Linked DNA regions of Rhinolophus ferrumequinum. The protein of the gene in region 1 interacts with the protein of each later gene in a pairwise test. Links are inferred from orthologs where the notes say so. Each region holds a gene or a part of one and is shown on either strand. Other genes may lie near its edges.

Region 1 (15,670 bases):
AGCAGGTTAGGGGTGAAGCTGGCTTTGGTATCCGGCAGTCAGCAGGGGTGTCCCAGGCAAGCGCCTTGGCCTCTCTGAGTCTCAGTTTCTTCTGCTCAGAAGTAATAGCCCCAACTCGGGCTGTGAGGGAGGGCCACAGCCCAGGGTAGCAAATGGAAGTGGTCGCCACTCTTAAAAACCATGTTTGTTTGCTTGGTACGTGGTGGAGGGCACTGCTAGGCGTGGTGGGGCTGATGTGCTGGAGTCAGACAGTCTCACCTGGAAGGGGCTTATGTCCAGCAGGTGAAATGAGGGGTCCTAGGTGACCTGAAACCCACCCACTCCCCAGGAATGAGGTCACTGCAGCACCAGGTAGGACCTTAGGGACCTGGCAGGGTGCTCACAGTTAAAAGTGTAACCAAGACTTGGGGTCCACCAGGGTTCACTACCCTCCTCCTCCCTAAACCAGCTGTGTGACCCTAGGCAAATAAGTTCATGTGCCTGGGCCTCAGTTTCCTGTTATGCAAAATGGGTGAACTATAGCAGGTTGTGAGGATTCAATGAGATGACGTGTGTGATGCGTTGGGCACCCCTGGCACGTAGTATGGCCACTGTGGGAGCAGGCCTTCCTGGAGGAGGGGGCTGGTGGAGCTGAGCCTAGGAAGTATGGGTTGGGCAGGGCACTCGGGAGGCAGGACCAGCATGTGCAAAGGCTCAGAGAATGCCACCCACAACCTCCTCGAAATCAAGGGGACATTGTGTTCAAGAGCATGGGCGGGTTCCTGGCCCCCGACCTGCATTCAAGGGGTGGGGTCTTGGGGAAGCCAGATCCGAGGCCACACTTGCATGTTTCCAGGTGAGGTCCAGAGATATATCCACAGAGGAGTGGAAAGGCTCAGAGACCTACAGCCCCAATACTGCATATGGTAAGACCCCAGCCCTGACCCCAACCTCCAGGGGACCCCCCACCCAGATCCCTGCCACGGCATCCTGGCCTATCCCCTTGTCTTCTCTTCTCCCACCTGGAGGGTGGGAGAGCACATGGACCCCTAAACAGGGCAGGACACCTGGCTGGCGTGGGGGATGTGAACACAGAGACCCTGCTGTCCCACAGGTGTGGACTTCCTGGTACCTGTGATGGGCTATGTCTGCCACATCTGCCACAAGTTCTACCACAGCACCTCGGGGGCGCAGCTCTCCCACTGCAAGTCCTTGGCCCACTTCGAGAACCTGCAGGTGACTCAGACTCTATTCGAGCTGATGGGGCTGATGGCCAATGGCCACCTCCCCGCTATGCTTGACCTCAGCCCCAGGGACACTCCACAGGGAGGCCCTGCCCACGGAGGGACAGAGCTGGGGTGGGGCCGGGCTCTTTCTGCTGTCGTTCTCGGGGGGTTGCTGAGGGACAGGCGGTTAGCTCCAGAGCTCTGGCCCAGGGAGGCTGAGCGTATCACACAGGGTCACATAGCACGTCCAATCTGTCTCAGCCTGGCTGGGGAAGCGGCTGCTGGCCAGCACACCAGGAGGGAGAGAGCCCTGCCTCACCCACACTTTCTATGTCCAGAAATACAAGAAGGCCAAGAAGCCCAGCCCCGCCACCACCAGGCCCGTGAGCCGCCGGTGTGCCATCACCGCCCGGAACGCCTTGACTGCTCTCTTCACCTCCACCGGCCGTTCCCATACGCAGCCCGGCATCCAGGACACAGCCAAACACCCCAGCAAGGTGACGGCCCAGCCCCCCCAGCCCCCACCACCCCGGCGCTCAAACCGCCTCAAAACCTGATAGAAGGAGCTCCCTACACCCACCCCATCTGGGTCCAGATCTGTGCTTTTAGGAGTCTGCATGAACTTGGACACGGTTGGTGTTTTTACTCAAAAATCCAATAAAAGGTAGTTTGGCTGTATAGTGCCCACCAGCACTTGTGTGTGGGGAGACGGGACGGGGAGCACCCCAGCCAGCACCCAGCCTCCAAGACAGTATGAGGGCGGAACCGGCCTAACCAGGGAACCTGGGATCACGAGGCACTTCACCTCTGAGCCTTGCTTTCCCTCTTAATAATGTATCAGGGCGAGGAAAGTACCTTCAAGTAAGGTCTCATTTAATCTTCACGGTGACTCTAGGAGAGACCTCTTGTTTCCTCCAAATTACAAATGAAGAAACTAAGGCCTGGCAAAGTCAAGTGACTTGCTGACGGTCATACATCGGGTGAGTGGCGAGGATGTGACCCCAGGCCGAAGCTCTGCACCCGTCCTAGCCTCTCTCTCCAGCTGGATCCTGTGGAAATTTAAGTGCAGGACGGGGGGGGGGGGGGGGGGCCCTCGCTGCTCCTCTGGTTCTGAGTTCATGGTTCACGCCCTTCTCGTCAGTTGACCTTACAATGAATCATCCGCGAATGTGGCCCAGCCTATGTTGGATCTTTACTTCTGCTATCTCCCCCTTTGGAAAGACCCCTGCAGAGACAAGCGGACCAACCCTATTATTGGCCAACTGGAGAGGGGCCGAGAGCAGGAGGGCGGTGCCCAAGGTTATACAGCATGTTTTGGTGTTGGTTGTCTTAGTGATAAGCCCTAGTACCCAGAGAAGCTAAGCTCATCACACAGCGTCACACAGCATGTCCGATGCTGTCTCAGCCTGGCTGGGGAAGCAGCTGCTGGCCAGGAGCACACCAGGTGGGGAGGAAGTCCTGACTTCACCTGCACCCTACGTCTGGAAATACACGAAAGCCAAGAACCGCAAGCCCACGTGTCGCGAGCGTGTGAGCAACGTCTGGAAAGTCTTGGCCGCTCTGTTCATCTGTCAGCCACAGGGGTCGTCATCCCAGGATACAGAGAGGCGCAGTGGTGTCGGAGACCTGTTTAATGTGGACCTTCAAAGCCTGGGCAGAGTGGAGAGTGCCCTGGAATTATTGGGCAGGCAGGCAAGATAGATGGGTCGCAGGCCCACACCTGGCCCCAGGAGGGGAGGCTGGCTGGTGAGCGCTGGCCCAGACACGCCAAGGGGAGTACCTGAAGGGTGGCCCAGGCAGGCAGACCCACCAGGGGACCTGTAGGCCAGCCCTTAAGAACGTATCTAAGTCAGGTGGTGAGTGCCCAGGCCAGAGCCTGGCCCCGGGAGGCAGGGTTGGGGCCTGGTTGGGGGATCCTGAAGCCTAGGGGCTGGCATCGCTGGGGGCCTCCCCGAGCTGCTGCTGGAACTCAAGGCGTGTCTGCCGGTTGGACTCAAGCAGCTCCTGGAGGCGGGCGTGGAGGTGGTCATTCTTCTCCTCCAGGTGGTCCAGACAGGAATTGATCTGGTCTAACATGGAGTTGATGGCAGCATATTCTGGAAGGAAGAGGAAAGAGAGCCAAGGTCCTGTATCTCCTCAGGGCTCACAGACATCCTTTCCCCATCTATTCCCCAGCCTGCCTCAGTGTCACCATCTGGAAAATGAGTGGATATCAAAGGAGGAAAGGCTTTGGAGACATAATAGTGATACTTTAGCACACCACATTTTTTCTAGGGTTACGGTGGTCAGGGAGATTAGCCAGTGTCCTGCCTGGGAAGTTCTGCCACATGCCAAGTTCTTGCCACATCCTCCATCTGCCTAGAGGCCAGAGCTCACATTCCTGAGTGGAGCAATCAAGGCCTCTGTCCCCAAGCAGGCCCATCTTTCCAGCTCTTCCATGGCCTCTGCCCTCAGGATAAAGCACCGAGAAGACTCCAAAGCCCCACTTCCCTCTCCAGCCTCACCTCCCATGCCTTTGCCTTTCCACTCTCACATCTGCCTTTGCCTGCCTCAGGCCCCTTGAACATGCCATTGCTTCTGCCGGGAATGTACTGTGTCTTGTCTTTCTACTCTCCTCCTGGATGAGTCCCACGTATCCTTCAAGTCTCAGCATGGATGTCGCCACAGGGAGCTCTCAGACTGGACCAGGCCTCTTCCTGATCCCCTTCCTCACACCTCCATGGCCCTCACCTCCGGACTGACTGCTGTGATTATCTGTGTGCTGGTCTGGCTCCCCTATAGAGCTCTGTGAGAGGTGGAATGGTCTTGTGTTCACTGCTGTTTCCCTGAGGCCCCACTGTCACACAATAAACATTTGTTGAATGAATGAATGGATGAATGAATGAATGAAGCCTCTAACTTTCCAGCCTTTCTCCCTTTGCTAAATTGTCCCTGCCGCCCAGAAGGCCTCAACCACAACAGCCATTTAAGGACCAGCTCAAAATACCTCTTCTTCCGAGAAGACTTCCATGGTCTCCACCAGAAACCGTCACTTCCTCTTCCACAGCCAATCCCGACCTGCCTCTCTCAGCAACACAATGTCCCTTAGGACCCAAGGTCTGGGCCTGTGCCCACTGCGGGACCCAGTTCTGAGCCAGCCCATGACTCAGATACACTCCACTGCCAGCTTGGAACAAAGGGGAAGTGGCTGACAGTGTTTGGAAAAAGCCAGGGCTGGAAGAGAGTGTCTGGGATATGGGTGCGAATGAGTGTGCCTTCTGGAGGAAGAGCACCCGTGACCCGGAGTTGGCACACCTCACAGAGGCCAGAGTCCTGGAAAGTCTGTTGGATCTTACAATCCAACCCCCTTGTGGCACAGATAGGGAAACCAAGGCCCACGGAGGTGGCAGAGCCAACTTGGGGAACAGGAACATTTGGGTTTCAGCTCCAGCTCTGCTCCATCTCAGCAAGTTACAGCACCTTCTAGAAAAGGGAGATAAAGAACTAGGTATCTGTGAGGTCTCAAATATATCAAGAACTCAGAGTCTGGCCACAGAAAGTACTTAATAGGTGGTCATTATCAACATGTCACATTTTGTGTCCTGAGACACAGCCAGGAGGATGGGGGAGATGGGTGTCTCCATACCACTGGGGCAGGTTTTATTTGCATCAAGGGTATGTTCCAGTTCCAAGCCTTTGCCTCCCTCCTCCCGCTGTGCTAAGACCTGTGAATCTGCCAGCATCCACTCAATGTGACTCCTGGGAGGCCCTTCCGGACGCTCCCACCACAAGTGCCAGCATGATTACACACATCTGGCCACCGCTCACCAGCAGTGCCTCGGGCAAAGTGGCCAGCCAAACACTTACCCCTGTGGGAGGTCTTCAACCTCTATTAAATGCAAACCCTGGGTGATGAAAGTGTTCTAAAACTAATATAGTGATTGATGCACAACTCTGGATATTCTAAAGCCCAACTAATTGTACAATTTAAATGGGTGAATTGGATAGTATGTGAATTATAGTTCAATAAAGCTGTCACCACAAAAAACACAGATTCCATACTTACCCCACATTTACTAAGTCCTGCACTCTTAAGTTAACGCATCAATTTTTATTACACTAAAGAGAACAACCACTTACTGAACACTTGTATGCTAGGAACCTACTAAGTATTTTCCATTCATTTTTCTATTTCATCCCGACACATCTCAATGCAGGAGACGCTAATCATTATTTTACAGATGGGGAAACTGGGGCTCCAGAGGGTGCGAAGGGAGTTGATGGTTCTCTCTCACAAAACCTCCCCTCCCACCTCCCGCAGTGCTGTGCACTGAAACATGCTAATTTGTAAGCAAGTCACATTCGCTAGGGCTCCAGGCCACACCAGAAAAGGTGGTGGGGGATGCTGACTCAGCAAGGCGGGCGCGCCCACCCAGACAGCCCCTTTGGCTGAGCCAGGAAGGTCCACCGGCCCCGCCCCCTAAGGAGCCTCCGTCCACACACGGGCTGAACGAAGTGGCTGGAGCAAATCTCAAAAAGGCGAGTGTCCCTGGAGAGGCCTTAGTCTCCCCATCTGCAAAACGGGGGGGGGGGGGCTGTCCACAGTTCTCGAATGCCGCTGCCGTTTCCAGGGACGCACTCGCAGGTGCTCGCCCTGAACCCAGAGACGGCACCTGCAGCTGCAACCCACCCAGGGTCGGGGGGTGTTGAGAGGGCTCTCCGGTCCCTTCCAAGCCCCTATCCCCGCACCTACTCCCCTTGCCAGGAAGGTACCACTGAGAAAGCAAAGGTCGTTTCAGCAGTCCCCCTGGATCACCTGCTTCCCCGAAGCCGTCGTCCTCTCCTTCCGCGCCCGCCTCCACCGGTATGCCCAGGTCCCCGTTGGGGCCCGACATTGCGGGCTCGGGCGCCGCAAGGGCCGCAAGACGATGAAACACTGCGACCGTCACGCCGACAGCCGGCGCCGGGCGGAAGGTGGAGGCGACCGATAGACTTCAGGGCCGGAAGGGTGGAACCCCGCCTCCGATTGCGGCCTGGCGGCCGGGGTCCCGCCCTCAAGGCCGGAGTTTCGCGGCCCGAGCTCCGCCCCGCCCCGCCCACAACCAGAACTCCGCTCCCGCCCACCGTCAGGCCCCGCCCCAGAGCCCCGCCCCACGCTGCCTAGCAGTGGAGCCCCGCTCCTCTCCCAGCCTCCGGGTGAGGCCAAACCGGGGCTGCCCGCCGAGAAACCTAGATGGTGGAGGCTCGGGTCCTCAGCAAGGGCGAGCGAGCTGGGCAGACGGCGGGGCAGCCTGGGACCCTCGCCCTGTCCTTTCCTGCCGCTGGGGACCTGCAGATGGGTGAGCCGACGCCTGCCGGTGGGCGAAAACTGAGTCGTGTGGTTTCTAAGGTCCTCTTATGACTTCAGGAAAATTTTCTTTCAGTCGTGGTCTGTGTGGCAGAGTGCTGCATGTGGCTGTTGGTGAAGGAAGGCTGCCATCATTCCCCACCTCTTTTACCAGCTGGGAAAGGGAGGCCTGTCCCAAATCACCCAGCTTGCAAGAGTCGCTCCTGAGCTGCGGTGTGAGCGCCGCCAGGGGCCCAGCTTTGAGTGAGGCCCATGTCCCAGGGGAGAAGGGCTCACTTACTGGAACTACAGTAGCTTCACCACCAAGAGACCCCAGGGCTGCTGCAGCCTGGTCCTGATCTCACACTGGTTGTTGGTAGGCCACCCTCGGGATAGGGGTCAGGTACAGTTATGTTCCTTGACTATGATAATGGAGAGGGATCTTCTTTGTCCCAGAAGCTGTCCCACCATTTCACCTGAGGAAGGTGGCAGTGCGGTTGAATCCACAACCTGTAATCAGGGCCACCACTAACTTGCATATGGGCAGTGCCTTCTTTTCTTTGAATCAGGTTGAGTAGAGGTGAGACCTCAGCCAAACCATTGCCCAAAAAATGTCAGTGACCGGCCGAAATGTGTGTCGTTTTAAGCTGCCAGTTTGTGGTCATTTGTTATAGCAGCAATAGGAAACTAATAAACCAGGTGACCCTGGGGGAAAACACAGAGCCCATTTGTGTCCTCACAGTTTGATCCTGGAAGGCCCAGCAGCCCCGGGTGGTGACGGGAAGCTGCGTTGCTTGGGTCAAGGCAGAGAAACTGTCTCTGCTGCCCAAATCGGAGTCCAAGGCCAGGCTGGCTTGGTGCAGCTTCCACCCCTCAACTAGTGGGGCTCTGGCCAGTTGCCCCCTGGGTGCCCTTCTTGGTGTGGGGCTTTCTGGCCGTGGGCATAGCCCCATCCCTCACTCAGCCCCGGCTGCACCAAGCTGGTCTCTCCCTGGAGTCTGGCCCAGATTTCTGAGGCTGCAGGAGCATCTTGTCGGGCTTGGCTCTCAGGCCTGTCTTGCTTCCTGGAGGCTGAGGCTGCTCACAGCTCCAGTTTCATCCCACTTCTCTGGCCAAGGACGAATGGTGTAGGTGTGCAAGAGAAGCCTGGGTTTCTTCAGAAGCTCACCCCTCTGGCCTCTGACTTTACAAGGGGAGAAGAAGCCGGAGAGGGAGTTCCTGTGTGTGATGCAGACAAACACGGGCTACAGCTGCAGCCTGTGGTGGACAGGGGCTTGTCAGGCGCCAGACACAGACCTAGCCAAGTGGTGGTACAGGCCTGGAGCTCTCAAGCCTTCTGGAATCTGGATTCCTCGCAGCATATTCCCCTCTTCGCCTCCCCTAGCCCTACTGCTGGTAGTCCAGAGGTCATCATAAAAGGGAGGTGTGGGTGAGGGACAGTGCTCTAAATGCAGTCAGCATGGACACTGTCACCCCCCAGTGGGGGCAGGTGGGTGAACACAGGTCCCAGAGGAGGCTCACAGAGGGGCAGGGGACCACCCCTGGTGACCCTCTCTGCCTGACACAACCTCAAGCTGGGCAGGCCTCTGCCCCACCCACTGTTCACCCCTCTTGCCCGGCTGCCATCATTTAGTATCCACAGGGGTCCTAGTGAGTTGTGGATGACAGCACCTCAGCCTCTCCAGTCCCCTCCAGCTGTCCAGTCCTGGCTGGGCTTTGCTATCGGACCCGTTGCAGTGGCCAAGGCATGAGGTGGGGCCCCATTAGTGTTTCCACTGGACTGGGCACCCCTTGGAGGCAGGGATATGTGAGGGCTGCCATTGGTCTGGGGGTGGGCCCAGGACTGGAAGCTAGGAAGTGTTCAGTCAAAGCTGGACTTGGGTTCTGTGGCCTCCAACCCTCACTGAGGACGGCAAGGGAGTCTGGGAATGATGCTAACGAGAGCTTATGCTTTGCCCTTCCCCTTCCCAGATGGCCCAGCGATCAAGGAACACAGACTGGGAGTTTGGGGGCATGTGTTTATTTAGCAGTTGAGGGGGGACTCCATCCGCAGGGTGGCCTGGGGAGCAGCTGGTGGGCCAAACTGTGAGAAGGATCTTCTGGCTCTCTGATTGGAGAATGGGTTGGTAGGGGCAGCTGGGTAGCATCCTGGGCGGAGGTCAGTATGAGGGCAGTGGGGGTGGAGAGAAACAGGAGGCACCTGAGAAGGACACAGGGGAGTAAAGGTGGCAGCAGTGTTGGGTGGGGGAGCAAAGGCAGTCCTGAGGCCCCCTCACCCTGCTTCACCTTGGTTGCCATCAGTCCCCTCCCCAGCCATACTCACCGCATGCTCATTCGTCATCCATCGATGCACTTGTCTGCAGGGGAAGAGAGTCCATCAGAATGGACAGGAATGTGTGTGTGTGTGTGTGTGTGTGTGTGTGTGTGTGTGGCCCCTGACCACCAGGGCCCCTGCACTGCCCCCAGGCTGCCCTAGGCCCGAGCCTGGCCCAAGAACAGACCTGAGAGTTCCCTTCAGGGATGTGGCAACAGGGCCAGACGATGGGGAAAGGAACTAGGAGAAAGGCCTGAAAAAACCTGGGGTCACCTGTTCTCTAGAGGAGGAAAGTGAGCCCCAGCTACCTGCTTGGGCACCCAGACCTCCTGCCCGTTCACCTGATGAACCCTGGCAGCCCCTCAGGCTGGGACTGCCCAGTGGCTCTTTGAGTGCCTGGCTGGAGCCCCTTGCCCAGGGCGGGCCGCCTGAAGACAAATGTACCTCCCAAGTCAGTGGTGAGGAAAACCCCAGGATGAGGGAGGAGGTGGCCCAGGACAGCAGAACCTGGAGTGTAGGGGAAGGTGGCCCAGGACAAAGGGGTGCCCCAAGACAGCAGGACATGGGGCAAAAGGGAGGTGGCCCCAGGCAGTGAGACTGGGGAAACTCGGACCTGGGCCTGAAACTCTCATCTGGGCAGGCCCAAGTTATCTGTCAGGGAAGAACACGTGGGGCCCAGAACCCGGGGGGCTCCACACACCCCTAGCTGGTGCGTGATCTTCCTGAACCCAAAGTGGCTCCAGTGACTGGAGCAGGGGACCAAGGCCCTCCTCTCTCCTGGAGCAGCGTCAGATGTGGACAGGCCCCGTGTCCCTTTCTCCTCTCCCCAAATGACCATTACCGATCGGGACAGGAAAGAGGATGTGGTCATCAGTGAGGCCCAGAGATTTGGTGAAGCGGATGAAGTCCTCCTTCAGTTCAGGGGTCAGCTCCTTGGTCCTCCCTGTGGCCAAGATGGCCGTAAGTGGCCGGCAGACACTCCATAAATATTGTTGAGTGCACAAATGAGCCTCAGCGCCCTTCCTCATGGAGGGTCTGCAGAAAGCCCTCTCTCCTCCCCAGGGCTTGGAGCGAAGCTGATGGGCTGGTTGGGGGTGAGCCCCTCCAGTGTGACCAGGAGCTGGGTCCCGGACGGGGTGGGTGAACACCCACCATAGAGGGTGATCTTGAAGTTCTCCTGGTTTTGGGAAACTGCCTTGAAGAACACCACGGCAAACTCATTATAGTTGGTGGTCACCACTCGCACAGTGTAGCTCTTTAGATTCGGGTAACCTGCGGGGTGGAGAGAGGGGTCAGCCCTGGCTGGGAGGATGGAGCAGCTCCTTGCTACCCGGTTCCCCGCCCAGGACAGCATCTATGTGGAGGCACAGGGAGGTCTGTGTCCCCTCTGGGCGGATCCCGCTCCCCAGGAATTCCAACCCCAGGGCCCACATCGTTCAGGACTCACCCTTAATATTGCCCAGGTTGAATTCGCCAGGCTGGGAACTTGGGACAAAAGTTCTGATAAAGTAGTCACAGTTCTGGTTCCTGTGGCGGTAAAAGATGTGTGGGTGAGAGGGAAGACACACAGGCGTGGACCCCCTGGGCTGGATGAAGTGGGGGTCAAGGCTGCAGCTGAAGGGGCCAGGATTCTGATTCTGGAGGGGCCAGCCCATCCTCTACCACAGCAGGAGGCCCAGGTCTCCCCCTCTGAGCCCGTCTGGGCTAGCTGACGTGCTCAGACCCTCCCTCCAGCGTCCACTGTCCTTCTGTCTTCAGGACTGTCTCCCCCTGGTGGCCCTCCCTATATACTATCCTCTGCACCCCAGGCATTTGTCTCCTATTCTTATCTTTCTGTTTCCTTCTCTGTGACCTCTCCTGGGGAATTGACCTACCAAGGTTCTAGTCGGCTCCATGCCATGGACTCCCCTAGCTCTTGTGCCAGCCCTGACCTCTCACCCTGTCCCTGGCACCCCAAAGCTGATCTCCCCAAACCCGCTCTTCTCCTGCCTCTTGCTCCACAAGTGCTCTAGCCCCAATCCCCCAGGTGCGAGAGCCAGAAACCCACAGGAGCTGGGTGAGCCCTTGTGTCCCGCCAGTCCTCTCCTCACCGGCTCCCTGGGGTGCCAGTGCCTTAGGCCCCTGGCATTGTGGAACCTGCCCCCCTCCAGGCTGCTCACAAGCCCCTGCCCAGGGCAGCCTGGCAATGCCATGCTTCTGCCTGAAGGAGAGGCTCTCTTCGAGTCTACCAGCCTCTGCTGTGAACCCCCCACATGTCCTGCCAAGGTAGGTTGGCTTCTTCAGGGCCCAGCCCGAAGCCACCTCCCTGGAAGCCCCCAACTGAAGTCCTGGGTGGGGTTCCAGGCTGGGTCCAGTGAGCCTCTTCCTACCCAGGACACCCCTGCTCCCTCTGTCTCGTTTCCTGAGGACTGTGGCCCTCCTTACCACTCTCTGTATGTCTGTACTGAAGTGACCAGTAAATGCTGATTTAATGAAGAAGGGAACAGATACATAAATCCAATACCGAGCAGCAAGATGGAGGGAGGACTACCTGCCAGCCTGCAACGCCCCTTAGCCCTGACATCACTCTGCCCTCAGGCACTGCCAGGGCAGCCCCCCAGGTCCCCATGCTCCCCCAGGAGGAAGCGGCTCTCACTTGAGCAGGATGGAGGTGACATTGTAGCTGTGGTCTTCTTTCAGCTCGTAGGTGGTGGAGTACATCTTAAACTTGCCTTGTTCTTCTTTCGAAAATGCGTTCCCCGCCAGGCCCACCACGTACCACTTCCCCTGGAACTGCAGGGAGGGTGGTGATAGGCAGAGTGGGCCCCACGAGCCCCTCTACCTGGGCCCTAGGGCTCCTGACGGGGCCCTTAGGATCGGGCAGGAGCTAGAGGCCGTCAGACCAGGAAGGAGCCCCGAGTCTGGCAGGGACCCTTGGCAAGTGACCAACTGGCCCCGCTGAGCCTCAGTTTCCTTATCATGCAGAGGGACTGAAGATATTCCCATCCTGCATGTCCTATGGAGACAAGGGAGAGGGTGTGGACCAGGGAAGATCAGTGAAGTCGGCGTGGGTAAGGGGGCACGGGGCATGGCTTCCATCAGGGGACGGAAGGGCATTCTGAGCTGAAGCCTGGGCCCATCCTGCTTCCTAGGACTCTTTGCCTCTTCTTCCTTCTGCTCCCACCCTCCCAGCTGCCCCTCCAGGCCCCTTCCCTACCTGATCATCTTGGAAGTTGGGCTGCAGCGGGACCCTGAGCAGAGAAGGGGCTGGGATGAGGTTTGGGGTGGCGTCCTGGGCCTGGATCTGCAGGGCTCCCAGCAGGGAGAAGCCCAGCCACAGGAGACCTCGGGGCATGATTTCAGGGCTTAAGAAGCTGGGCAGCTGCTGGGCCTGCAGGTGGTGAAGGAGGAGGAGGTAAGTGAGGAGGCTGGCCGAGGGAACCCTATTTATGGTCCCCCTGTTTGCCGACTCACCCCAGGGTGGAGTGAACTATCCTTTGCCAAACTCAGGAAGAGTGAGGTAAGTACCGCAACTCCTGCCGAAACATTTGGCAGGATTCTTGTCCCTCATGGTTAGGATTGTGCAAGGTGGAGGAACAGGAAGTCCAGGGGAGTCGTGAAGGAACATTCCACAGAGCTCCACACCTCTGGCAAGGACAAAGGCTCCCCCAGTATGCTCTCTCTGCCCCTTCCCTCCTCTCTGGTTGGCCCTGTTCATAGTCAGGAGTCCTAATCTGGCTGAGACATCATCTCTGACCGCCAGGAACTCCTGCTTAGCCCAAGGCCAAGCTGGGTTCTGTGCTGCGAGAGCCCCCACTCCTGGCACCTGATGAATGCAAACAATGCCTTGCCCCCGTTTCCTGGTTCTTGAGGGACAGGGAAGGATGGGGCAGCTAAACGCGGATATTTGTGACAGAGAAGGGCTCTGTGTTGCTTGAGATCACGGGTCCCAGATCCTGCCCCTCCCAGGGGCCCCACACAGGCACTGGCACAGGGTGAGACCTCCCTTCCCCGAGGCAGACCTGGGAGGGCTCCCGCCTTGAGTTGGCCCCTCCCACCCTCCATGCCCCATTTGCAGCTGACCCCTCCGGACACAGACCCCAAGCTGGGCAATTCAGCCGCATAAAATAGCATGGAGGCTGCAGTCCCAGCTCCATGCTGGTGGGGGTGGGAAATGAGGGGCACACCTGCACTGGGTGAGGTAACCTGCGGGAATTGGGGCCTGAAGGCCAGCTTTCTACACTACTGCTCTGGACACCAAGTGCTTTGGGTCACAGAAAGAGCAAGGACTTGGTCTCATCCTTGACAGGTCATTGAGACTATGCACCATCTCTGGCCACAGCCTTGGTGCCCAGGCCTGGGCCCTGGAAGTGTTCCTACCATAGCTGATCCCAGCTTTGTCCTAGAGAGGAGTTTCCTCACTGGGGGTCTGGCCATCCCTGGGAGGTGGTGACGGGTCCCAGCCCCTGGGAAGTGTCTTCCAGATGTCAGCATGAGGACCGAGGCTGTCTAGCTACCTGCCCTGAGGCTGAATTGAGGATTCAGCAGCTTAAGGGAACTGACAGGAGCCCCACTGGCTCTATTCACCTGCTGCTAGGAAACCAGCACCCCCAGCCTGGGCTCTGGGGGGCGGGGGGCAGGCTCCAAGAGAAGTGGCTTTGGACAGGGTCCTGAGCTGTTGAGTAGGGGACAGCCTTGACCATCCTAAGGCAAAGAGGTCCCCTTAGGCTCTGCACTGCTTCCCTGTCTGGGTGATGAAAGAACAGGAAGTGGAGATGAACAAAGCTTCAGGGAACGATGTTGCCACCAAAGCTGCGTGCCCTTCAGAGGTGCCAGTGGCCACCCGCCATCCAAGGGCTCCTCCCCTGCTACTCTCTTTGACCTTAAAAGGTATCTTCAAGCCTGAGGTGACTTCTGGATGTGGAGGAAACTAACAGTGGAGCCCCAAAGAATTTTAACTAGGGGAGGGGCAGTGCCCTGGATCACTGGATGAAATATTCCAGACTCTGAAAGTCAGGGGGCAGAGTGGCCAACAATCCCTGTTATAAACTGGGAAGGTGGGTAAGGCTGGGTCTACAGCATGAGAAAACCGAGGCCAGATACAGGAGGGGAGATGGCCCAGCTCAGGGGCGCTGGCCCCCTGGGTACCGAGAGCTGTGCTGCAGATTCTGCGAGGCCACACATACACAGTGCCGGGGGCACACACACGAGGTGTCGCCACATAAGGGCATCTCTGAGTTTCTGACCAAACCCCCGCAGTGCCCATGCTTCTTTATTCTGGCTCCAGGCCTGTCCAGACCCACTGACTTCGTCTGTCTCTCTGTCATCATCTCTGTGTGGTCTTGGCCTTGGCTGAAACCTGGTACGGCCATCTCATCACTTCTTCCTCACATGGCTGCCTCCTGCCTTCTCTGCTGGCGTCACCCTGGAGGTTGGGCTGGTCCAGGATCTGAGCGAGGAGACGAGATCCGTCCAGGGATTTGAGCCTCAGCAGTGTACAGTGTCCCAGCCATACTTTGTGGGTGTTGTTGGGGGAAAGCATTGAGAGGATGTGACCACCAGTGGACCCTCGAGCTGGGCCCAGGCCTTTGGAGCCTCCTCACCTCTCCTGTCCTTGAAGGTTTGCTCTGCCCACCATTTGCACAGTGGGAGCCGTTGTCAAGCTCGCAGCCCCGAGAGAGCACTGTGGTGTGAGACCATCTGGATTGAACACGTGACTGAGCCCCATGAAGGCCTCTATAAACTTTAAGATTCTGGCGGGAGCGTGTGGAGAGCTACTCGTCTTGTAGCGCCAAGACAAGCCCCGTAAGGAAGTTTCCTCCATGGCTTATTAAACCTGCCACCTACCAATCGGGAGTGGCTGCCTCTTTCTTCAGTCTCTCCTTGCTCTCCGTGTACAGGGGCCAGTTTGTGAACCAGCTGGGATCCACGGACAGTCATGGTTTTATGGCTGGGGCAGAGGTCAGGCCAACAGGAGGTGGGTGCTGGGCTGGTTATAGCTGGAGGGCCGGGATCAGGGAGGATGCTTCTTGCGTTCTGCCTAAGGAAGAGAGCGGTCCTGCAGGCTGGGCCGGAGATAAAGGAGAAATGCTCTGCTCACACTCCTCAGAGTCTAGCAGGGCTTCGGGGGTAGGGTCAGCTCAACTGGGCCTGGGCCTCTGGCCAAGGAGGGGATTCTTGGGTCTCCGTGCCCGGGGCTTGGGGTCTCTGGGGCCCGGGGCTCTCAGAACGGTCTGCACTGTACACGTGGCACTGTGTGGGCAATTCCCCTTGGCCCCTCTCGTTTTCCACTGTGGCCCCTGGGCTGCTCCACCAGCTTCTCTCTCTCTCTCTCTCTCTCTCTCTCGCCCCTACAAATGTCCCAATGAGGCCACAACAAGCCACACAGAAACTCTGGGGCCAAGCCCCTCCTGAGAGAAGCCAGGGCTGGGCCTTCCCAGTCCTGCTCTGGGTCCCCTTTAGCAATGGCAGGACCTTAAACACCATCCACACCTGGGTTTCTCTGTGGCAAGGAGCCAGGAGAAGTCTGGCTGCTCCAGACCTCCCCCACTGTCTCTGGCAGGTGGCTCTCCCCTTCCATACGCCCGACACACAGGGACCCAGGCCCCATGCCTGGTCTAATCCACCCAGGAAGGCACCTAAGTGTTCTGTGTACTTACTGCATCTCAGGAATCCAGTCTAACCCCCTGGACTGGTTTCTGGAAGCTTGTGAGCAGTGGTTAGTCCAGCTACAATGCCTGGGGCAATAGCAATGCCCTGTGACTGGCTAGAAGGTCTGGCCAAGATGTGCCCGGGTAGGGGTTGACTAGGCTTCTTGGGGCCACACTGGGGAGAAGATTCTAAGCGGATGCCCTAGGAGGCATCATG
Region 2 (15,073 bases), on another chromosome or scaffold:
TATTTTTTCTTTTTTTAAAGGGAAGGTTATAAATTTCACATGAATGAAGATAATTGGAAAGGAGATGATAGCAAATTTTGGAAGCTGGAAAGGCAAAAGGTTTAGTAAGTGACTCAACAGAGTTCAGAAAAGTGAATCTTAAGCTAAAGGGGATAAAGCTGCCAAGTTTTCTGCACCTTTGCCAGCATCAATCTCAAAAACTGGTACCAAGGATCTTAAGAAACAGGGCTAGGAGCAGATGGATTTACTAAAGTTTAGACCTCTCTCTCACTGGATAAAGCCAAATAACGCCCCCTCCTCTGCCAAGGCAGAAGACTCTAGACTTTCTCTCTGGAGTAGGTGAAAAAGTGTTTGATACAGGGCACACAAGTGAGAACAAAGGTAGCATACTGAAAAGCTGAAAATGATGGTTAAGTAGAAGTCTGTTTATATATTTTGAGACCCTCCTGCTCTTTTCTACCAACTGGGCATAAATCTTGCAAAATTTTACAACACTATAAACAAAGAGAGGATTCTAAAAGCTTCCAGAAAGAAACAAAGCAGGTTCCACACCAAAGATAAGGAATCCAAACAATTCTTTTTTTTTCATCAACAACACTGGAAGCTAGGGTAAACAAACAAAAACAGAAAACAAAAAGGGAGTAATGTTTCAAATTTCTGAGAAGTAATAACTGCCAATATATAGTTCCCTTCTCAAGACACTAATAGAAGAGGTACTCCAATTGACAGAACACCTGATGTGTTTAACTACACTTAAATCCTGTGTGTGTGTGTGTGTGTGTGTGTGTGTAATTCAGAAAAACAAAACAACTCAGGACATCTACCACTGGGTAGATAAAAATCAGGTCTTTTGTAGAGATATGCCGGAAACCTCCTCCCCATAATCATCTCAGGTCCCTGACCAGGTAACATTTGGGAAGACAAAATTGCTGTTGGGTTAAATGTTTTCACCATAGGAAAGTTTAAAATTAATAGAAAAAAACGAAGTAAATTAAACCTGTAACTTTTATACTTTGAAATTATATTTGGGAATGACATGTATTTGATTTTTAGGGTACTTATAATGTTTAAGAATATTTGCCACACACCTAGACTCTATATATATTAGCTTTTAAAATTATCATTTAAAATACAATATTATGTGTATAAAACACATACTCGTAATATTAAATTACTGACCGTGCATTTTCTGGATTAGGACTTTTAGTTAAAAAGTGAAAGTTTACAAATAGTATGGGGATTTTTATAACAACTTGGGAGTTGTTATAGTGTTAAGTTTAATTTACTGGCTTTATAAAAGTGGTTTAAGTTTTGAGAAAGTTTTGCTTGTTAAGTCAGGCAAGTGAAGTCTTTGAATAAAAACAATTAGAATTCTACATGCAGTTTTAAATTAAGTCTATTTAACCAAGTTTTAAATGTAGCTGATTAATAAGGAAGGGCATTTAGTCCTTTCAATTGGAGTTACTTGCAATTTTTTTTAAAGTGACATGTTACTTATAAACATAATATTTTTAGGTTGAATTTAAAGGCTGAAAGAACACAAGGTTATAAAAATGTTACTTTAAGAAACTTGGACAGAGCCCATGATTTCTAAATTCAGTTAGGTAATAAAAAGTTCTGCAGTCACTTTAAGTTGCAAAACAGTTTCAGTAATTGAAATGCTCAATTCTAACATAATAATCAAAACTCTGCATTTGATTCCACTTTGGTATTGTCCTCTGCCCCAGGCTTGGGCTCACTGTAAATGAGAAGGCTGTTGTCATGGAATGGGGATGTGGTTTAGTCTTCTCTTTATTTACCTAGAGATTGTACTTCACATTATTGTTAAACATAGTTTTTGAATAACTACAGTTAGACCAGAATGGAGAGAGAAAAAAAAAAAAATCAAGAGCATCCTTAACTACTATACTCATCAATGAGACTCTCACAGATGTTTGAGGGTTCTTTGGGGACAAAAGCCCACATCACTGGGGACTGTCACCTGAAGTTCCTTTTATCTCTATTTCATCTTCCTTCATTAGAAGAGCTCTACTGCCTCCTTGCAAATGGGTGATATCCAGCTTTTCTTTGCTGTGGTCCATTGGCACCTACCACCCCTACCTCTAACCTCTACTCCCACAGGTGTCTTTTTTGGGCAGAACGTCAGATGACTCCCCAGCTGGGCTCATGAGCATGCACTAGCACCAGCTCTCTCCCTTTTTCTCGTTACTAAACTCCCTTGGTTAATCTTTTTAAATTCTATTATCTTGGCCCTTTATAAACTTGGTATGGATGCGGGGTTTAAGAAATACCAAGTGGGTTGATTAATGAGGTGCTAATCTTTATCGAGTGGACGGTATTGTAAAATGTTTATTATTCATGATGACTACTATTACGGTAAGTTTTATGTGTCAACTTGTCTAGGCTACAGTAGTAATACTACCGTGTTTCCCTGAAAATAAGACCTAACCGGAAAATAAGTACTAGTATGATTTTTCAGGATAACATCCCCTGAACGTAAGCCATAACGCGTCTTTTGGAGCAAAAATTAATATAAGACCCGGTCTTATTTTCGGGGAAACACAGTACTATTCAAACTCTAACTTAGGAGTTGCTATGAATGTATTTTGTAGATGCAGTTAACATCTACAATCAGATGACTTCAAGTAACGGAGATTATATTCCATAATGCAAGTGGGCCTCACCTAATCAGTTGAATCACCTTAAGAGCAAAACTGAAGTCACTCTGAGGAAAAAACTCTACCTCAAGACTGCAGCATCAGGTCCTCCTGGAGAGTTTCTAGCCTGCCAGCCTGCCTACTCTACAGATTTTGGACTCACCAGACCCATAATACTGTAATTCCGTTGTCTGAAAGAAGTGGCTTTATTTGACATAGATACTGTGTTTCCCTGAAAATAAGACCTAGCCAGACCATCAGCTCTAATGCATCTTTTGGAGCAAAAATTAATATAAGACTCGGACTTATTTTAATATAAGACTCAAACCTATTTTAATATAAGACCCGGTCTTATATAATATTATATTATATTAGATCCGGTATAATATAATATAAGACCGGATCTTATATTAATTTTTGCTCCAAAAGACGCATTAGAGCTGATTGTCTGGCTAGGTCTTATTTTCGGGGAAACACGGTACATATTTCTTCTGCTGGTTGTGCCTGGGGTCACTCATGTGCTTATAGTTAACCTGTCCGATTAAAGCTGGATATCTAAAGGGGTGGGGGTCTCAGCTTAGAGAGCTGGTCTCTGCTACTTGTGGTCATATCCTTTAGTAGGTTAGCCTGAACTTTAAATGGTGATCTCAGGAGAACAGGAGGGCAAGTCTTAATGCACAAGCTCTTTTCAAGTCTCTGCTTAACTGCATTTTTTTTTTTTTTACTATCAACCAAGGAAGTAAACCTAGAATCAATGTGAGAGAAGTTATAAAAGGGCCAAGATAATAGAATTTTTCAAGATTCCCCAAGGGACCATATTATGAGAAAGGGAGAGCTAGTTCTCATGCATGTCGTAAGCTCAGTTGTGGAGTCATCTTAGGCTCTGTCCAAAAGAGCTACCTGTGGTAGAGGGTGGAGGAAAGGGAGGGTGATACATAAGGGCAGAGACAGAGGGAGGCATGATTCACTGGGTGCCATTATTGCCACAACGTAACACATCACTGTTAAATGTTAATTGTGGGATTGCTAAAGACTGGATGTTTGTGTTCCCCCCTACAATTCAGGTTAAATCCTAATGCCCAGTGTGATGGTATGTGGAGGTGGAACATTTGAGTGGTGATTACCTCGTTAGGGTGGAGCCCTCATGAGTGGGATTAGTGCCCTTATAAAAGTGACCCCTGGCCCCTTCTGCCATGTGAAGACACAGTGAAAACACACCCTCTATGAACCAGGAAGTGGGTCCTAACCAGGTACTGAATCTGCTGATCCCTTTGATCTTCGACTTACCAGCCTCCGGAACTGTGAGAAATAAATTCCTATTGTTTATAAACCACCTAATCTAAGGTATTCTGTTAATAGCAGCATGAACAGACTAAGGCAGGGAATTTCAAGTTCTTCTCCTAGGAACATAAGCATATTCACTGATGCATATCTGAGTAGATGGGATGACTAACTTATGTTTGCTTACAAAAATGGGATGTCACTACATATGTGCAAAAAATCCAGCAGCAGATGAAGACCACAATTGTGGAAAAAATAAACCTGTAGGAAAATTTGATCAAATCTAGGAATATTTAGCCTGAAAAGGAGTCTTCTCCATTTAATAATTTTATTTTATCTTTTTGAATAAGAATAATTTACTATATACTATTACTATTTTATAATTCATAAAACCTTGGCCTGCAAAGTCTGCATTCGCACTGATTCTTACTAATCTTTCCAGTCTCCTGAAGTTGAGAGAAGACAAGTGTCTGCTTGTTGCACAATTATTCCTCTCCATGAGAACAAGGCCAAACAAAACACTTACTATACACAGTGGATACTAAATTTCTGTGGCCTTGCATTTTTCTTTCTTTCTTTCTTTCTTTTTTTTTCAGACATGAGAAAAGCAAGCTCATTTTCTTGATAAGGCGCAAAAAGGCAATGGAACTAACATCTAAGGAACATAGGTTGGCTGGTAGAGAACAGAGGTAGCAATTATAAAAAGCAAGTCTTTCTTGTGTAGTGATTTTGGTCAGATAAAACTGCTCATAAAATCAAAAGAAAGAAGGCAGGTCCAGGCAAGCATTCCTATAATAAGGCCATTTATAAAATGTCACATAAATCCCTTCTCTTGGTGAAAACTGACTGATACAGAAAATCTGATGAAAAATAATGGTGAATTTAGGTGATTTTCCTCAAAATTATACAGAGTTGACTGAATTAGATCTTCAGTTAAATTTTTTAATTCAGTTAAGTACAAACATACTATAATGCATTAGGACCTAGACCATAGCTAACTCATTTCTGCTGTATCCCCAGGATTTAGCAGTGTGTACAAGCTCAAAAATATTTTTAGAATAAGTAAAATAATGACATTTAAGCAACATTTTGCATTTTGTCAGGACTATAATTGAGATCTGGGTTGCAATCTTAGCTTCATTAATTATTAGGAAATTACTTAGCTTCTTTGAACCTGTTTTTCACACTTGAAAAATGAGAAAGGACAGTCTCTTTAATAAATTATGTTGGGAAAACTGGACAGCCACATACAGAAGAATGAAACTAGACTCCTGTCTTACCCACTCATTAGATCAGGTACCTTGAGTTGTTGGGAATATAAATGGGAATAAGAGGGTGAGGGGAGTAGAGGGTAGAAAAGACCACTACAAACAAAACAAAACTAGCAGATGAATAAATAGAAAATAATAATTACAATAAATTAAGAAAAATAAGGTGCTGTAGTAGAAATAACAGATTTCTACTATGAAAATATACAGTTGAAGCATAGTATATGACATAGTATGTGCTCAACAAACACTAGATTTCATTCCTATCTTCCCCTGCTAAATTATGAATTAAAAACACTGAACATGAAAAATATTTAATTCAACTTCTTGAGTAAACAAAGTTGCATAATTAGAATATGATAATGTTTCATATAAATAGCAAGATCGATGTACAAGCACTTACTTGACAGTATTGTTTCCCAGCATGCATGAGGAGGCAGCATAGCACTTACAAACGTCCTCCAGCCACAAAGATCTGTGTTCAATCACACTATTTAAGTTTGAACAGAGTACTTAACCTCTCCAAGCCTCTGTTTCTTAACTTAGTTGGAAAATGATGACAATATGGGGTCAGACAATTAAGTTCGCGAACTCATCCTAGAAAAAGTGCTATAGACCTCATTGCTGAATATCACTGTGGTCACCTTCGAAGTACTCCCCTTGGGAAGCTGTGCACCGATGCCAGCACCTAGTCCACCCTTCAAAGCAATTTTGGAACTCTTTTCCTGGAATGGCCATCAGAGCTGTCATTGTACGTATTACCCTTGATGTCCTGAATGTCATCAAAATGTCTTTCTTTCAATATTTCCTTTCTCTTCAGGTAAAGAAAGAAGTCATTGGGGGACCGATCAGGTGAGTAGGGAGGGTGTTCCAATACCGTTATTTGTTTACTGGCTAAAAACTCTCTCACAGACAGTGCCATTGTTGTGATGCAAGAGCCATGAACTGTTGGCGAAAAGTTCAGGTCTAACTCTTTCACGCAGCCTTTTCAGCACTTCCAAATAGTAAAGGTGGTTAACTGTTTGTCCAGTTGGTACAAATTCATAATGAGTAATTCCTCTGATATCAAAAAAGGTTACCAACAGGTTGTGACAAGTTTGCGAACTTAATTGTCACACCTCATATAAGGACCTATTTCATTGGATTGCTATGAAGATTGAATGAGATAATGACAAAGCTATAGCAAATAGAACAGCATGGTATTGGTAGAGTAGGTAGAAAGGTAGAAATGAGCAGGAGAAGGAGGGAACTAGCCCTGGTTATAAGGCCCCTTGCAGCTGCTCCTACTTATCAAAAAGATATGTCCTTAGAAGCAAAAAGAAATGCTGGAGAAGGAGGGAAAACAACCCGGTTATCAGAATGTACATCCTGCTTCTTTGGACCATACAATTATAGTTTGCCCCTTTTTAACGAGCTTCTCAAATACATCATGGGAAATTAATGGGTTCACACTTGCGCCCCAGGAAACAACAGGAAGAGAGGATGGACACACCCGCAGAAAGAGAGAAAGACACTGGACAAGGGGAGGAGGAGACAATTCTACCTATAGAAAGAAAAACCCTCACACAATGTAAGGAGGCTGCTTCCTTCTCTTGGGTCAGCGGGCTCCATGTCTGGGAGTGTACTTGCTTTTACTAATAAACTGCTTGCTGTCCTACGCTGCACCAATTCGGCCTCTTGACTGAATTCTTTCCTTTAAGACAAGAACCGAGGAAAAACGTCACTCCCAGTAACAGTACTGGTATAAAAAACACACACATAGACCAATGAAACGGAATAGAGAGCTCAGAAATAAACAGAGGGACCAAGAATATACAATGGGGAAAGGAGAGTCTCTTTAACAAATGATGTCGGGAAAACTGGACAGCCACATGCAGAATGAAACTAGACTGCTATCTTACCCCACTCACAAAAATCAACTCAAAATGAACGAAAGACTTGAACATAAGTCCTGAGATCATAAAACTCCTGTAATAAAACAGGGGATAAGCTATTTAAGACTGGTTTGGGCAATGGTTTTTTGGATTGGACCCCAAAAGCAAAGGCACCAAAAGCAAGAATAAACAAGTTGGACTACGTTAAACTAAAAAGCTTCTGCACAGCAATGGGAACCATAAACAAAATGAAAAAAACAAAAACAACCAACCTATCGAATAGTAGAAAATATTTACAAATATGTATCTGATAAGGGGCTAATAAACAAACTATGTAAAAGACTCATACAACTCAACAGAAAAGGAAAAAACCCCAAATAATCCAATTAAGAAATAGGCAGAGGAATATCTTTCAAAGAAGACGCAAACTGTCTTAATGAAAAGGTTAATGAAAAGGGGCTCACCACTAGTCACCAGGGAAATGCAAATCAAAACCACAATGAAATATCACCTCACTCCAGTTAGAACGGTTGCTATCAAAAACACAAGAGACGAGTGTTGGCAAGCATGTAGAGAAAAGAAAACCCTGTTTACTGTTGGTGGGAATGTAAATCGGTGCAGCCACTATGGAAACTAGTATGGAAGTGCCCTGAAAATGTATGAAGTGCCATATTATCCTGCAATTCTACTTTTGGGTATGTGTCTGAAGGAAATGAAATCACTATCTCAAAGAGATACCTGCACCCCCATATTCACTACAGATTATTTACAACAGCCAACCCATGGTAAGAACCTAAGTGTCCACCGAGGGCTGAATGGATCAACAAAACGTGGCATATGAACACAACGGCATATTAATCATCTATAAAAAGAAGGAAATCTTGCCATTTGCATGAATGGGCCTCAGGAGTATTATGCTAAGTGAAGTAAGTTAGACAAAGAAAAATATTAACTATCTCACTTAGATGAGGAACCCAAAAAAACAGGATTCACAGAAACAAAAAGCAGACTGGTCAAAAGTTACAAATTTCCAGTTATAAATAAGTTCTGCAAGATGTAATGTAGAACATGGTTTTTTTAAAAAAGATAATGAATAGTATGTGACATACTATCTTACAGTAAACGATTAGACAGAAATGATCATTCTCAGAAATCTGATGACTGTCTTTAAATGTACCTCAAAAATCCGTATTTGTTTTTATTTTCTACTAAGCTATGAACCACCCATGGTTTGGAAAGAAATCTATTATTTATTTTCAAAAGGAAATTTTAGTATCAACTATAGTAAGAAAAACCAAAGTGCTTAAAAAAAAAAAAAAAAAAAGATGAGGCGCTGGTCCAAACAGTTGAAAAATGCCATTTAGATTTCAAATCTATGGCTCCTTAACAAAATTACCTAGTGGTGTATTATACTCCAGAATGGCTGAGAGCAGCCGGATGAGCAAAACTTGCACAAATACGAGTTGTACACACCTGAGAAGGCACCTTCCTAGAAGGGGAGCCTCGGGAACCAAGTAAGTGACAGCAATAGGAATGCTGAGTACCGAGGCTCCTTCTCTCTCCACCCCTAGCAGTGGCCTAGACAAGTTCTAACCTCTCTTTTCTAGAGCCTTCAATCTACACTAACTCCTCAGCCTTCCAAGTCCTTCAAACCGCGAAGGTAAAAGTGCTACAGGTAAGGGGGGCGAGGTCGTAGGATGCGGTGTCGTGTCTTCTCAATCCTTCACTCGCCCCCAAATCAGGACCTCGATTGCACGGCCCCCACTCCACTATACAGAGCCAGATTCTGACACCAAAAAAGGCTAAAACTTCCCCCCTCCCGCCCTTCTTCTTACAGAGGGCACCACCCGGGGCGTCCCTTGCAAACGCCTAAGGAGAAGGCGGGGTCGTCCCACCTCTTCAGACTCCGACAGGGCCCTTCCTCCCCAATGCTCGGAGCTGCTGTAAGCCAGGACCGCTCCCATCAACACCTCCCCCGCCGCTGACCCACACTCTGACTTCACCTGGGAGCAGTTCCACCGAGGGATGGCTTAGGGAAACCTCAGAAAAAACGGGCCAACGAGCGACGCCACCGAAGGCACAGTCATGGTCAACAGTGCAGATGCGCCTCAGTCACTGCGCCTCCCGCCTCCCGATCTTTACCCCGCGGCCCGGTACAGTCGCAGCCTCCCGCTTTGCATGCCGGGAAAGGCCCGCCTCCACTTCTCAGAGACTTCAATTCCCAGGATGCACAAGCCTCCAAAAGCACTGCACTCTGGGACTTGGAGTCCTAAGCCCACGCCCTTCTCCTCCTCCTTAATACAGAGTCCCGGAACTCCTCTGGGGAATCTAAACGTAAAGCATCACCCATAGTCGTGAAATGTAGGCTCCGCATGCATCCGGGGCCTTGTTTTGGCCTTGACTGGGTGGGGAATGGTGTCGCCTAGCAGCCGCCGCCGCTCTTGCTGCTCGGGATCAGTTAGCTGGATCCAGCGTGGGGTTGGAACCGCGCTGGGGAGCGGTCAGGCGTGGCAGCCGGGTCAGGTCTGGTGGATGCGGTAAATAAGGAGCCGCCGCTGGTTGCCAGGCTTGGTGGGTGGATCCTGGTGAGGCGAAGCAGCGAATCTCTTCCCACTCAGGTTCTTTAAGCCTCAGGGCCCACACCAAATAGCCCATCTTCCCCGCCCCTTAGTCTTTGGTCCGCAATGCATCTGCCGTCTCGCTTCAGCCCTGGTTTCTCCTGCGCGACTGCACTCATTTCAGTCGTTTATGTATGCACTTTTTTTTAAACCCACAGTTGCTGCTTTTCCGAATCAAGGGTCAATTTCAGCCTTCCAAGCACTCCGCCCAATTAGGTGTTCGCGCGCCTTGGTGGTAAGGATCATGGAGAAGGGGACTCAGAATCTTAGTTCTGACCTAGATTAGTTTTAGCAAGGGAGCTGTCATACTTTATTTAGCCGATGCAATATCTGATGGTTTGTGCCGACTGCTATATTTTGATCAAGGCTGTTTTGCCCACTTATCGGTTATACTATTAAGGAGCCATAGTTATTTGCTAACACCGAGGTTACAATAATGTAATCTATAAACACTAAATTACTGTAAAAACAGAAACGCTGTTTCCCTTCAAAATGCTAATACCCATCTGTTTTGTTACAGAAGGTAAAGCGTTGTTAAAGAATTCAAGATGCCACCTAATATAAACTGGAAAGAAATAATAAAAGTTGACCCAGATGACCTGCCTCGTCAAGAAGAATTGGCAGATAATTTATTGGTTTCTTTATCCAAGGTGCTTAATTGATAAATAATACGTAGATACATCAACTATGATTAAGTTGTTCCTGAAATCACTGGATGGTATAACTGGAAGAATTCTTATATTTTGCTTAAGTGTTATGTAATATAAAATAGTTTCTTCTCTGTTTACTTAGGTGGAAGTAAATGAGCTAAAAAGTGAAAGTCAAGAAAATGTGATACACCTTTTCAGAATTACTCAGTCACTGATGAAGGTTTGTATGCAGTAGATTTTAATAACAGGTTTGACTATTAGAGAAATTCAAGAATCTGTTCTTAAGTGTTAATCTCTGTGAAAGTACTTTGTAATGTCTAAATCAGCACAAAAAGTAGATCTTCAAATGTGATTGATAATTTTAGTGTGCAAAAACATTGGTAGTTTCTGCTCTAAATTTCCTAAAAGAATGTGTGGGGGAAACAGAATGTGTATGTTTAAAAATAACGTAGGAAGGTCCTGTGTTAATTTTGTTAACAATGATGAGGTAGAAATGAAAAATGCAGATAACTACTATAGGGATTTGTTAGAAAAGGAAGAGATTTATATGTGAGAAGACCTCATAAAGGTCAAAGAGTGATGAGTAGTTTTAGGTAAGTGGAAGGCAGGGGTATAATGTTAAGGAGATTCTAGAGCTGGAGGTTACCATAAATAAAAACTGGTAATGGAAAATGTGTGTATTCTTTATATTGAGGAGACAAGTGCAGAAAGTTTATAGCTGGTCATAGAGGAAACAAATGTTGGGTATATATAATTTGACAGCTTTGTCAAGGACTTGAAGTGATATTTTATGCTGTCAGCCATTAAAGGTTTTTGAGCCACAATGATAGATACCAAAATATGCCTTGGGAAGGCTAAACTAAGTATGTTAATGGGACACATTGAAGGGAATTGAAGCTGTTTAGACATAACATGATGAAGGAGGTTAGACTTCAAATTATGGACTAGCATAATGACAATTAGAATAGAAAAAGAAGGTATAGTAGAAAAGAATAGAAAAAAAGATAATGGAAAACAAAGGGAAAAGTTGCAATACTGGATATAAGACTTGAGGATAAAGAGGAATCAAAGATGTTTCAAACTGTTAAGAATCTAGAAATTATAATCTTAAGAAAGAAAATCATGTATTCATTTAACAAATATTTGCCGAAGATCTCCATGTGATAGACATTGGAGACACTAAGTATTGGGATTGCAAATAAAATCCTTATTTTCAGTGCTTGCATTCTAGTATAAAGGCATATTGAAGTCACTTTTTTTTTTTTTTTACTGTTTAGATGAAAGCTCAAGAAGTAGAGCTAGCTTTGGAAGAAGTTGAAAAAGCTGGAGAAGAACAAGCAAAATTTGGTAAATGCCTTGGAAAAAGTTTATTATGATATTAGATAGTGGATTCCATTTATTCACTAAGCAATAGAGAAATTAACTTTGATGTAAGTCTGTAAAATGTATATACTCAATTTATTTTGAAAGCTGTTTCTAGAACTCCTATTTCACGGGTCTGGTGTAAATTTGTTATTTTTCTCTTATATTACCTTTTTACAGTCACAATGGACTCTTTAAAAATAATTTTATTGAAAAAATTTTAAAAGCTTGTTTTGATATAAATCTGACCAATTGAAACATTTCTTTTTTTTGAAATAGAAAATCAATTAAAAACTAAAGTGATGAAATTGGAAAATGAACTGGAGGTATGTCTTTTCATATTCCCTATGGTGTAATTTGTTGTTAATTTTATTATTTTGAATTATTAGTTTGATAATTTTGATAATTGTTGGCTGTAAAAATTACAAGAATGACACTGTATTCATAATTATTTGTTCAGTAATGTAATAAATGTAAAATATATATTTGTCATGTCTATTATGTACCTTAAATTCTATTAAGAATTGATCATCTAATTGTGAACAAAATAAAAACATTCAATAACCTCATGAAGCTTACAGTTTAGAGAGATATACAAAGGATTACTAGTAACTGAGGTGGAGCAAGGCACATTGGAATTTGAGGAATAGTGACAGAGGGTATAGTAGAAGTAGCTTTTGAGAAAGCCAGGATCCAAAATATGAAAGTATTGTTAAGGAACTAAATACATTTTGAGATTCCTGAAAATGTGGGGAGGAATGTGATACAAATAGGTTAGCCTGAAAAGAAAGAAGGACCTCTTTCCTTTGTAAGAGGAAGGGAGGAAGAATGGATATTTACAGAAGCCGTTGTTTGTGGGTTTAGTGACTGGGAGTTGAGAAGATGGAGAGAAGGTGATCTGCTAACTTTAAGAGTGGGAGATGTGTGGTCAGATTTTCAGGAAGTCAGATAAAGCTTGAGATAATAGTGAAGAATGAGCTGGAGATTGCTAGATCTGTAGTCAGACAATTTTGAGTTCAAATCCTGATTCTTCTATGTATTAACTCTGTGAACTTGGGTGGTTTAGTTTTTATTCCCTACTGTATATCTAGTGTCTAGGGAAATATCAACCATCCCAATAAATATTTATTAAGTGAAGTTTGAAGTCTGATCCATTGTGTGTTACTGTTTGGCCAGAGAGCTGGGGAGAAGAGGAGTCCAGGGATTGTAGGGTCCTGGAAGGTCAAAGGGCAGGTATCGTGGGAATAATGTAGGAGATATTCCTGTTTGGACAAGGTCCTGGTGTGGGGCCTGGGAGTAGGAGGCTCTGCTGAATTCAAGAAGCAAGTAAAAAAAAAAAGTAAGACCAAGCATGAAAGTTGTATACACACGGAAATTGTTTAGAGGGGCTTTTGATGAAAGACTGTGAGCAATATGCCAAAAATTCCTCAATGAACTTTGTGAGTGAGTGACTGGTATGTTAGTAGTTGGCTGCTATCATGAGTAGGTAGAGACTGGAAAGCTGGATATCATGTGAGGTTCAAAGCAGCAGTTTTTACAGGATGGTACAGGAGTGATAGTGTGGAAGTTGGAAGTGGGAATCAACACCCACTCTTGACCACGAAGTATATGGGATGTGAACGAGCACCTCCCAACTGAAGGACTTCCAAAGGAATTAGTATACTAACGGAGCCAATTGCAGTGAAGGCTGGGAGTTGGAAAGGATGATTCAGTAAAAAGGTTGAAGATGTGAAGTATTAATTTATCTTGAAAGGATTTTCAAGAGCACAATGGAAAGCTTTTGGAATGAGGGAAAGAAGGAGAAAAAATTGGTTGAGAGGGATAACAGAACTGTACAGTGAAGTGATCAATGTGAGACAGATTAGATGATCAAAAGATTTGATGTTTTGGACCATGTCCCAAAATAACAGGAAATGAAGCAAAATGGATGTCGTTGGCTTCAGGATTTTCAAGATAAGCTAAGTTTGGGCTGTCCAGTATCATAGCACTAACCACTTGTGGCTATTTACATTGAAATTCATTAAAATTAAACATTCAGTTCTTTAGTTGCACTGGCCATAGTTTCAAGTGCTCAATAGCCACATAAAGATGGTGGCTACTGTACTGGGTGTGCAGAGAACATTTCCATTATTTTAAAAAGCCCTGTTGGATAACACTGGTCTAAATAGTCTGTGGTACGAGGGAAAGGGCAAGTTAAGAGCACCAGAGGTCAATGACTGGGATGGAAGCTCTGGTGGTTTGTAGCCTGGTTTCAGAGCTCTGATGCTCAGGGAGAAGCTAGATAATTCATCACCTATGTTCTATGACTGGAGGGTAGTCTGGTACCTTAGCTCAGAGGCTATAACAGGTCCTGAGTGATTGACAATCAATTCTTCATAGCTCTGGGTGGATCAGGAAAAGCTTAAGGGCTGTCAGCCTGCAAACTAAAGCTAAATTTTTAAAAATGTTTCTTTAGCTAACATGATTTTAAACACCTGATGCTGATTATAATACACATGTAAAGTGAAGATAATTATTTATTGTTGATTCATTTGAATCCCAAATGTAATGGAATTAATTTATACTTTTGTTTTATTACTTTAAGATGGCACAGCAGTCTGCAGGTGGACGTGACACTAGGTTTTTACGTGATGAAATTTGCCAACTTGAAAAGCAATTGGAACAAAAAGATAGAGAATTGGAGGACATGGAAAAGGAGTTGGAGAAGGAGAAGAAAGTTAATGAACAAGTAAGGCACATTTTTTTGATGACTCTTAATTGTTCAATTTACTTAAAAAATTCCTGGTTATGCTTTTTATAATTATTGGTAGCAATATCAATTTTTATGACTCATGTGAAAATTGATGTATTCTTATCTCTAAGGTTTTATATCATAGTTCGTGTTGTCATCACATCTTGAAAGTATATTGGATCAGGTACTTCTAGTGACTATGACTTGGAGATCAATTCTCTATATTTGGAGGTACATTTTTCTCAAGACATTAGAATTGTTTACATAAAGTTGATGATTTGGTCTGGAAAATTAGTATGAAGAAACTAATAGGGATTCAAAAAAATGGATTTTCTTATTTGCCATAGTTTATTTTGGGTGAAAAGATTTTTTGGGGGGTATTTATTAATATGTTAGTATCAGACTTAGAAATTAATCTTTTAATGATGTATTCAATAATGATCAATCAGATTTGTTTTCAGGTATACCTCACCTTATGTAACATACAGGTTCTTCAAAAGTTGTGTGATGCCAGCATTTTATAAATCAATGCATATTTTAAATCACGACATGTTATCTTTTTATACAAACATAGTTTGATATTACCTCTTATATTATTCCTTGTTATTTATAAAATAATTCGTGCAATGTTC

What was found.
Region 2: the proteins of BBLN (region 1) and CEP290 interact in binary tests that used the Homo sapiens proteins (3 or more experiments, as listed by UniProt). The two-hybrid records come from large-scale screens. The link is inferred for Rhinolophus ferrumequinum from reciprocal best matches to the Homo sapiens genes BBLN and CEP290.

Annotation. Positions count from the first base shown.
Region 1 is NC_046295.1:77,091,104-77,106,773, reverse strand, and holds BBLN (bublin coiled-coil protein), read right to left. Parts: upstream 6,221-15,670; 5' UTR 6,080-6,220; coding exon 6,001-6,079; intron 3,302-6,000; coding exon 3,129-3,301; 3' UTR 2,819-3,128; downstream 1-2,818. Other genes in the region: CIZ1 (cip1-interacting zinc finger protein), read left to right, coding at 836-905, 1,094-1,215, 1,544-1,762. UniProt on the Homo sapiens protein: Essential for intermediate filament organization in intestinal cells, interacts with intermediate filament and regulates intestinal lumen morphology.
Region 2 is NC_046293.1:80,225,034-80,240,106, reverse strand, and holds the start of CEP290 (centrosomal protein of 290 kDa), read left to right. Parts: upstream 1-9,482; 5' UTR 9,483-9,698; exon of another isoform or gene 9,699-9,856; 5' UTR 9,857-9,933; intron 9,934-10,218; 5' UTR 10,219-10,246; coding exon 10,247-10,348; intron 10,349-10,490; coding exon 10,491-10,568; intron 10,569-11,625; coding exon 11,626-11,695; intron 11,696-11,989; coding exon 11,990-12,036; intron 12,037-14,294; coding exon 14,295-14,438; intron 14,439-15,073. UniProt on the Homo sapiens protein: Involved in early and late steps in cilia formation. Its association with CCP110 is required for inhibition of primary cilia formation by CCP110.